2 linked regions of the Arabidopsis thaliana genome follow. The protein of the gene in region 1 interacts with the protein of each later gene in a pairwise test. Each region holds a gene or a part of one and is shown on either strand. Other genes may lie near its edges.

The links. The genes of interacting proteins can lie anywhere in the genome.
Region 2: the proteins of ADA2A (region 1) and HSFC1 interact in binary tests that used the Arabidopsis thaliana proteins (3 or more experiments, as listed by UniProt).

What each region holds. Positions count from the first base shown.
Region 1 is NC_003074.8:2,469,321-2,474,875, reverse strand, and holds ADA2A (ADA2 2A), read left to right. Parts: upstream 1-1,780; 5' UTR 1,781-1,813; coding exon 1,814-1,866; exon of another isoform or gene 1,867-1,968; intron 1,969-2,094; coding exon 2,095-2,156; intron 2,157-2,239; exon of another isoform or gene 2,240-2,240; coding exon of another isoform or gene 2,241-2,292; coding exon 2,293-2,495; intron 2,496-2,623; coding exon 2,624-2,689; intron 2,690-2,775; coding exon 2,776-2,901; intron 2,902-2,979; coding exon 2,980-3,052; intron 3,053-3,158; coding exon 3,159-3,219; intron 3,220-3,308; coding exon 3,309-3,367; intron 3,368-3,521; coding exon 3,522-3,572; intron 3,573-3,659; coding exon 3,660-3,888; intron 3,889-3,977; coding exon 3,978-4,188; intron 4,189-4,280; coding exon 4,281-4,559; intron 4,560-4,667; coding exon 4,668-4,862; 3' UTR 4,863-5,045; downstream 5,046-5,555. Other genes in the region: AT3G07750 (3'-5'-exoribonuclease family protein), read right to left, coding at 1-131, 439-563, 658-736, 938-1,030, 1,119-1,175, 1,268-1,390; AT3G07730 (uncharacterized protein), read right to left, coding at 5,270-5,555. UniProt on the Arabidopsis thaliana protein: Required for the function of some acidic activation domains, which activate transcription from a distant site. The exact mechanism of action is not yet known.
Region 2 is NC_003074.8:8,939,231-8,943,398, reverse strand, and holds HSFC1 (heat shock transcription factor C1), read right to left. Parts: upstream 2,334-4,168; 5' UTR 1,945-2,333; coding exon 1,717-1,944; intron 1,688-1,716; exon of another isoform or gene 1,633-1,687; coding exon 868-1,632; 3' UTR 525-867; downstream 1-524. UniProt on the Arabidopsis thaliana protein: Transcriptional regulator that specifically binds DNA sequence 5'-AGAAnnTTCT-3' known as heat shock promoter elements (HSE).

The sequences.
Region 1 (5,555 bases):
ACTATGACCGGGACACTGGAAGTGTCAAATTGAAGATATTCCTCGTCGCTGATGTCAATCTCTGGTTGCTCATCATCTGCTACTTCAGCTGAAACATTGACTTTTGGGATGGCCGTGTTGGTTAAAGCAGCCTGCAGGAGTATAGTCAACAAGTGCATTAAAGCATGTGATCAGCCTTGAGGAAAGATGACTTTTGGGTTGCTTAAACTATCAATTGGAAACATATCGTAAAGCTACTAAAACCAATAACAAGACAACTACATTGAGCTAATCTATATACACTTAACTAAAGACCCATTCCCTTTCGTTTCCTATATTCTCTGGCCTTTCCTTTCTCATGATTCTGATTGATGGGTATGATTTACTCACTAACATTCGTAACTAAAACCTGAGACTAAGGGTTAAGAGAGAAAACCAAACACACATCACAAGAATTACCTTAATGGCAGCACCCAGGGCATCCAATAGATTCCCATCCGAACTAATGACAAGACCATCAATATAAAGGTCCCAGCAAACTTTTCCTTCTTTGATTAAAAGCGAAGATAAATTTATTCCAGCTCCTGGTACCAAAACATGAATTGCTATAAACGTTACAAACAGAAAGCGTAACAGTGTGCAGGTAAAAAAAAGCATTGCATAAACATGATTGCAGACCTGCTCCACTTTTGCCACCCAGAAGACATCTTTGAAGAGCCAAAGCAAGCTCAGAAGACAATTCCTCACCTCCTCTCCCCTAAGTAACAACATATCACAAAGAATTAGCCGCCTAAAGACTTAACACAGTAGAATTTAGGAGATTCTGAAGAAAAGTAATGATAACCAAAATCTCATGTTGAACAATTCCACTAGTAAGAGAAACACCAATAGAACGATAGAACGGGTGTGACAAGTGCTAGATAGAACCAAAACCAAACGAAATAAAAGAAAAGCTCACCCCAAATGTCGGTTCAGCTGTTGGACTGCAATCAATGAAAACTGCAACCTTTCCTTTATCGGGTTGAAGTGAACTTGGCCTCCCAATTTCAGCCTGCAATTACACAAGATTACTGGGTAACATCTACAATAGCACTTCCCATTCAACAATAGAACAGTAGCAGAGAGAACAAAGGAAGTACCTTTACACTAGCAATCACATCGGTTCCACCAATTCTAACTCTCGCTGAACCATTAGCCTAGAGCCAACAAAAACAAGAGAAAGAACATATCTGTTAAACAACTGGGAAGCAACAATGAGAAGCGGACGAGCTCTAGGAGATTACACTACCTGCGGAATAACACCGGTTTCGACGTAGATAGGACGGTAAGTCAATCTTTTCCGACCATCAGTTCGAAGATCTTGAGCAATCCCACCTTTAATGAAATGTTGTTCCCCAAGAGAAAGCCCCATCACTAATACTACACAGAGAACGAATTAGATCAACTGCTGAGGAATTTCTACCGGAATGACAAACTTCAAGGTTCACGGATTGGTGCTAGGGTTTAAGAGACAGCTCAAACAAAGTACACATCTTTATACAGCACAATCAAAACCCACTAATCTTCTTTACCTTCCCGGAGAATTCAATAGAAGACACAACTCTGAAGTTTTCCGGTGACCCTAGCGGCAACTTTGGATTGGTTAGGTTAAGAGAGAGACGTGACCACTGACAACTGCCGTAGGGTTTAAAGATGGCGTGAACATAATTATTGACACTTGTTAAGGGTAATTTAGTCATTTACCGACTTACCATTTTTTCACTGCTTTTTAGCGTTTTCTCGCTCTTCTGGTTTTTTCTTCAATCTGCCGGGAAGAAGTGCGAGCTTGGTGCCGATGGGTCGTTCGAAACTAGCTTCTCGTCCTGCTGAGGAAGACCTGAATCCAGGGTTCGTTTAAAGTTTCGTTCTTTGTCCATCTTAGCTCGAAGTCTTCTAGGGTTTTCTCTGTTCAATTACTTACTTGTCTTTGCGAAAACATTTCAATATCTGGTAATCCACTTAGCTGTGTTTGATTATCTGAATCGGAGTTCTTTTGGTACTTGTGGGTGGCTCTTGATTTCATACTGCTGTCGTCTCTTGTCTTTATCCTAATTTTGATGATTTTGGCTGTTTCAGAAAATCAAAAAGGAAAAAGATATCATTGGGTCCTGAGAATGCTGCGGCATCAATTTCCACCGGTAGGTTTCCGTTTACTTGTGCAATTAGGTGTGATACTGATAGGACTAAAGTTTCTGCTGTGGATAGATATGCATTGATGTATCATGTACCAAGCTGCGTTTTCCAAAAGTTCTTACATGTACCAATACATTGTAGGAATTGAAGCTGGGAATGAGAGGAAACCTGGCCTTTACTGTTGTAACTATTGCGATAAAGATCTGTCTGGTTTGGTTCGTTTCAAATGTGCTGTTTGTATGGACTTTGATCTTTGTGTGGAATGCTTTTCTGTCGGCGTTGAACTTAATCGTCACAAGAACAGTCACCCATATCGTGTTATGGTTAGTTTCCAACGCCGAGCAGTATATTTGAATTCAATTCAACGCTTTGTCAGCTGAAAAGTAATTAGATTAGTGATTGTGTTTAAAACAAAGAAAATGTTCTATGGTTGTATTTTTGTTTGTATTGAATCTACCCTTTTGTTTGACAGGACAATTTGTCTTTTTCGCTTGTTACTTCTGATTGGAATGCCGATGAAGAGATACTCCTTCTTGAGGTAATCATTAATCGTTTCTGATTGTACACTCCCATGTCTATATAGAGATTCCATCTGACTATTGGGAAGTAAATTGACTGTGTTAGGCCATTGCGACATACGGGTTTGGCAATTGGAAAGAAGTTGCAGACCATGTTGGTAGTAAGACAACGACAGAATGTATTAAACACTTCAATTCTGCTTACATGCAGTCACCATGCTTTCCACTTCCGGTAAGGACTGATGAAAACACATGATCGTCAGATAGTTGAACCTAGCTTGTTTATTTACTCTAGCTCCCCGCTCTGTAGGACTTGTCCCATACTATTGGAAAGAGCAAAGATGAGCTGCTTGCTATGAGTAAAGATAGTGCAGTCAAAACAGGTCAGCTTTAAAATCTATTAGCGGGGTTTCTTGTTGATTTGGGACTCGTATATTAACCTTGACTGAAAAAAGGAGGATGCTGAGCTCTGTTTACTATTTGTCACAGAAATACCTGCATTTGTGAGGCTATCTCCAAAAGAAGAGTTACCTGTGTCAGCTGAAATCAAGTATATACTTATGCTTGTAACAATAGTTTACCTACGTTTACAATGTTGAATGCACCTTTTTAAAAGTACTATTATGTTTCCATGGGCAGACACGAAGCTTCAGGGAAGGTCAATGAAATAGATCCACCTTTGTCTGCCTTAGCTGGAGGTATGTGAAAATGCTTTTATCTATATAAAATTGTAGACATTATTTGCACTTAGATTTATGGCTAAGGACGCAAATCATCCGCATTTCGTACTACGACCCCAAATATTATCTCTTCCATGATTCCATATGTAAAGTAATACTTTTTATTGTACAGTCAAGAAGAAAGGCAATGTACCGCAGGCTAAGGACATCATCAAGTTGGAAGGTTTGTTATATACTGGAACAAGTTTTTATGCAAAGTGATATTTACGCGAACAAAAACTAAAGGTAGTTAACGGCCCTTGTGTCTTAGCTGCAAAACAACAATCTGACAGGAGTGTCGGGGAGAAGAAACTCAGACTTCCTGGAGAGAAAGTTCCATTAGTAACAGAGTTATATGGTTACAATCTAAAGAGGGAAGAATTTGAGATCGAACATGACAACGATGCTGAGCAACTGCTTGCTGACATGGAATTTAAGGATTCTGACACAGATGCTGAGCGTGAGCAGAAACTGCAGGTTCTTCGTATTTACTCGAAAAGGTACACTTATCACAGGAACAACCATTTTTAAACCGGAGAATTTTTTCATAAGCCAATGCTACAAGCCAAGATTGTGCCTTTGTTGGCAGGCTTGATGAGAGGAAGCGGAGGAAGGAATTTGTTCTGGAAAGAAACTTGTTGTACCCTGATCAATATGAGATGAGCCTTTCAGCAGAGGAGAGAAAAATATATAAAAGCTGTAAAGTGTTTGCGCGGTTCCAATCCAAAGAAGAGCACAAGGAACTGATTAAGAAAGTCATTGAAGAGCACCAAATTCTCAGAAGAATCGAGGATCTTCAGGTTTGATGCTTAAAATTTTACCAAGCTTGAGTACTGGATTACAAACTCAATTAGGTGGGAACATTAAGTTGAGCTTTTAATAAATGTTGCAGGAAGCTAGAACTGCTGGTTGCAGGACAACTTCAGACGCAAATAGATTTATAGAAGAGAAGAGAAAGAAGGAAGCTGAAGAAAGTATGCTGCTGCGGCTTAACCACGGTGCACCAGGCAGTATAGCCGGTAAAACACTAAAAAGTCCAAGAGGGTTACCCAGAAATTTGCATCCCTTTGGTTCTGACTCACTGCCAAAGGTCACACCTCCAAGAATATACAGCGGTTTGGACACTTGGGATGTTGATGGTCTCCTTGGAGCTGACTTACTCTCAGAGACCGTAAGAACAATAATTTTCAAACTTGATGTTTGTCATCTTATTTGTGATTTTGTTGATTTGTTGACATTATTCCTATGGTTTGAGAGATTGAAGCTGTTTTTTGTGCAGGAAAAGAAGATGTGCAATGAGACCAGAATACTGCCTGTACACTATTTGAAGATGTTGGATATCTTAACAAGAGAAATAAAGAAGGGGCAGATAAAGAAAAAGTCTGATGCTTATAGCTTCTTCAAAGTAGAGCCGAGTAAAGTAGACAGAGTATATGATATGCTGGTTCATAAGGGAATAGGTGACTCAACATGACTCATAGCTTCATGGTCCTAACATGTACTTCTCGAACATATATTAGCCATGTAAATATAAAGGAAGGTGATGCTGATTTTGGTTACACATCTTGTTCTCTGTTAGTTTCGACAACTTGACAATGTCTGATTGTTATGACCTTCAAAGGCTGTTTCAGATTTTTTGATACAACGTTTAAACTGAATATTGTAATGCCTTCACTCATCTGATTCCTTCAATTTTTGTTATATGAGATCAGAAAGTCTTGAGACATTGCATCAGTTTTCAGGAAAAACCTAAATAAAACCAGATTCTTTGGTTACAAGAAACTACACTGGATCAGATTGCCATCCAACAACAAAGAAAAAAAAAAAAACAGACAGAAATCCAAAAACTTAATCTACATGAAGCCAAAAGCTTTACCATTTCTAAGGTTGCCAACTTTGAGTCTTCTCCCAAGGCTTGAAAACACCATCATGAGAAACATATTTCAAGTAAAAGAAAAAGCCACGCAGCAACTTCAAAGCTCTTGCCTTATCAACACCAACCACAAGCTTGTATTCTTTTTCGAAATCAGGGAAACTTTCTAGATAAGATTGTCCCAGTTCGTCAGTCTCATAATCAGATCCTCTTCCCTTTCGTAGTTCTCTGCATCGAGTCATTTTTTTATGGATTGATACGTAACGATGGAGCTGCTTCATCTCTCCTTCATCA
Region 2 (4,168 bases), 6.5 Mb from region 1:
GTGTGAGAGACATCAGGTGGTCCAATTTAGATTTATCGTTGTTTTATACTCTCTCTCTCTCTAGCCCAATGAGTGTTCGAAACGTTGTTGGCCGACCAAAGTCCCGTGGCTAACTGTCACGTCTCAAAATTTAACAATGTCATGTTATCAATTTTAGATGAAAGTGAAAGTGGAGCGTCGTGTTGATGATACGTTTGAATCTTGAATGGATGTCTCGTTGACTTGTTATCAGTCGACCGACTTGTGTCGCCTTAACCACGTGGGTTATATATAGGCAATGTTTCTTCTACTTTATGATCAGCTTTAAGCATGTGGGTTATATAAGCTAGTAAGTCTATATACCATGTCAACTGATTCGTTAATGTGTTTGAGAACAAGTGTTTCAAGAGAAAGAGTCAAATACTCGATATGGTTTAGTTTAAAGATGGCCATTAACGATAAATTTGAAATGGTATATAGACTTAATTACTAGCTTAAAGTGGAAAAAGTAAAGCCTATATTTTGTTGTTATTACAAAGATATAAGGCTACAATAATACTTTATTCAAAAATCAAAACACTGAAGTAGTGAAGAAGATCAAAATTGTTGTTATTACAAGTGTGAATATATTACACAAGTCACCTGAAAGTACTTTTAAAAGGAAAACAAAGTCAACATATGAACTTTTAACAAATATAATCAGAAATTATATACTGTCAAAACTTTCTACAAACGATGACTACTGACTCAACTATGGATCTGTCCTTATTTTCTTTCTTTCTTTTGGTTATACATAAAATAATTAAGAACAAACACACAAAAAATAAATAATAATAATAATATAACAATAATAAAGTCTAAAGATCATATATCATGTGAAGCTAAACGCTAAAAGCCACCTCGAAACAGAGAAAATGGATAAGGCGGTGTTGTTGGTGGATTTGACTCTACCACTCCTCCAAACGTCGCCGTTTCTTTATACCTTCTTTCTCCCTGAATACTCCCACATCCTCCTCCTCCTCCTCCGTTAACACTCTCCGGCAAAGAAAACGTCGACGTCAAAGATGATGACGTCGACGACGTTGAATTCGAGAGCATCGACTTCGCCACCAAACCCGTCTCGTAACTACCAAACTGTCCTTGCGTCATAGGAACAATCCACCCATCCGGTGAATGATTCCGGTAAAGATTCTCCGTTGATGACGGCGACGGTGTTGATGATGACATAACCCTAAAGACCCTCCCTTCATCTTCTTCCACTTCTTCTTCCTCTGACTTCACCGTCGACATCGTGACACGACGCTTCTTCTTGTCGGAAACTTGTTGTTGTTGCTTTGTCCGTTCTTTCTCGAGCATCATTCTTGGAAGAAGATCAGGATCTTCAACGACTTTGTAAAGAAACGCCATCATCTGCTCCGGTCTCTTCTCCGTCGCTTCGATCCTCCGGTTCATCCTCTGAATCTCTGCCTCTAGCTCCCTCTGCTCTTCTTTTAACCGTTCGATCTCCCTCACAATCTCACCGTCCTCCAAATCTTGACCGTACATCCCCCGCGCGTGTTTCCTACGCGCTATGTTATTCAACAAATGCTTCTGTCCCCTTAGAAAATGCTCGTTCGCAAACTCCCACCGGTCCGGATCCACTTTCCTAAACCCCTAAAGTAAATAAAGAAAGGATCATTAGTTCGTAATCCCCTGTTTCCAGTTTCATGTATGAGTTTCGGTTATGAATTAACTTACATAGGTGTTGAGTTGACGAACAAAACTGCTGAAATTGTTGTGTTTGAAATAAGCAGGTAAGATTCGTTGCGAGAAGTCGAGTGGATCAACGACTATGAAACTGTTGTGAGCAGGTCCCCAAGTGATGAGCCAATCGGTGGAAGGATCATTGACCATCTGATATGTTTTCACGATGAAAGGTGCGATCACGTTGTTGTTGTTGTTGTTGTTACTATTGTCGTCCTCCATCTCTCTCTTTCTCTGTTTTCCTTATGGTTTATATGTTTGTTGTTGGTGGTGGTAAAGAAATTAAAGAGGAGCCTGGAGGGTTTATATAAAGATAGGAAAATGAGATGTGAAAATAGTAAGTTAAGTGTAGTTGACAGTGAGACTATATTGACGTGGCTTGCTTTTTGTGATAACGTGGCGGGTTCGTGTTTTGCCTTTTACGGTGTCACGAGTGAACTGTGGGACCTATGCAGGTGTGCCTCTAAGCTTTCAGGTCTTTTTTGCCCTTTTTGTTTTGTTTATATTTTCTTATGTCACAAGTTATGTGATACATTTGAAATATATGCATATTTAGGCATTGTTTTTTCTTAATTATAATTTTAAGTCATAGATGATTTAAGCTGCTTGACTAATTCTAAGGGTAAGCTAGTCCCAATATAGAAAGCTTAGTCCATCGATTTTTCAACTGGTTTCCGATCCCGAATTAGAAGGATATCTATGATTCATTTGTAATTTCTGCACAAACAAAATTATTTGTCATGATTTCTTTCTAATTCTTGACATGATTTGTTTCTTTCACTTTTTCACAAAAGAACCTCGTCCTCTTCAAAATACTCCAAAACTCTCAAGAGTGAGAGCAACTTATAAAAAAAAAACACATTTGGTGAAACAAACAAATCTTCTACAATGAATAGAGAGGGTATAATTTAATTTATTATATTATAATTTTTCTTTAGTTTACAATTATGTTAAAAAACGTTAGAAGGAACATGCTGTGTATTCAGATTTTAACTTAAAATATCCGACTAATTTAAAATAAAAAATTGCAAACAATAACACTAAATGCCAAGTAAACATGATTTTATAGACAAACTCTTCAATCTGCAAAAGCACTCCTATTTTCTTATACATACATATCCATGGACTCTGGAATAAATAGCCACACAAGTGTTGCTACTTGCAAGAGTTATTATAGGAGTATTATTAAACAATGATTAACATAAACTACTACAAATATAATTGCTAGGTTAAGAATTAAAACCAATAAGTTCCAATAAAAAATCACACGCATCAAAGGCATTACTATTTTATAGTTTAAACCACCACCGAGAAATCCAATAGCAATCTTATATAAAATTTTCCTAATTATTAATTGGATAGATTAATGGGATTAATCTAGACTTAATTAAGGGGACGTGGGTCAAATGCTAACCACATATTACGTATGATATAATAATATAAATAGTTTGAATAAAACAACATTTATAGAATCAAAGCATGGTCCTTAATCCTTGAGAGCCTTGGAGATAATGACCTCCTCGTATAGGCGAGAGTACAGTTCTCCACTTTTCATTTTTTTAATTGTTGTCTCCTCTCTTTGTTTTTCTTAAACTATAATTTACCTTTTCAATCGAATCTTAATTACAACTTTATTTGAACAATATATATATTACTCTCATCGCCAAATGGGATTAGCTATAATCCACAAGCTATAGCTTTTGTTTGTTTAATTACGTACTATCAGTAGTACAATTTCAAAACCTAAGGACAATTTTGATTTTTATGGGATACTTGAAATTATTAGTCAAGATTGATAGGTTTAATTACTTACTACGACAAAATTTTCCAAACTAATATATGTTTTTATTAAAATTAGCGCTTTGTCAACCTACAATTAAATTTATCTATTTCGATTATTATCAGTTACATAAATTGAGAGGACGATAAAAAAGTATTTTGAGACATCTCTTCCCCACCTTATAATTTTTGTTGTCCATAGCGAAATAAAGGAGAACAAGAGATAGTGTAACAGTGAGACGGTGACGTGGTATGCTTTGTAATAACGTGGCAAATTCGTGTTTGCTTTTTACATGCAGGTGCCACAAAGCCTTAGGTCAATTAGCTTTTCTTAGATGGCAAGTTATTAGTCCGAGCCGTTGTGTATTTGTGTGAGATGTTTTCAAGAGACGACGAGCGTGTGGGTGCTTGGATACTGACATGGTCCGCACTGGTTAGTGACGGAGGAACTCAGGAACAAGTACTGATTCGACACGTTGCGTAGAATCTTTTTTGTTGGCGATGCACACTCCACTAATCGAGTATTTTTGTATTTATGGAAAGTTTATTCATTATACGTTGCTTAATTCAGGTATACGACGAACATGATTTTTCATTTTTATTATAGTGTCACACAAATATTATAGGAAACTGATGTCGTACGGATAAAATAGTTTAGTAGACGATT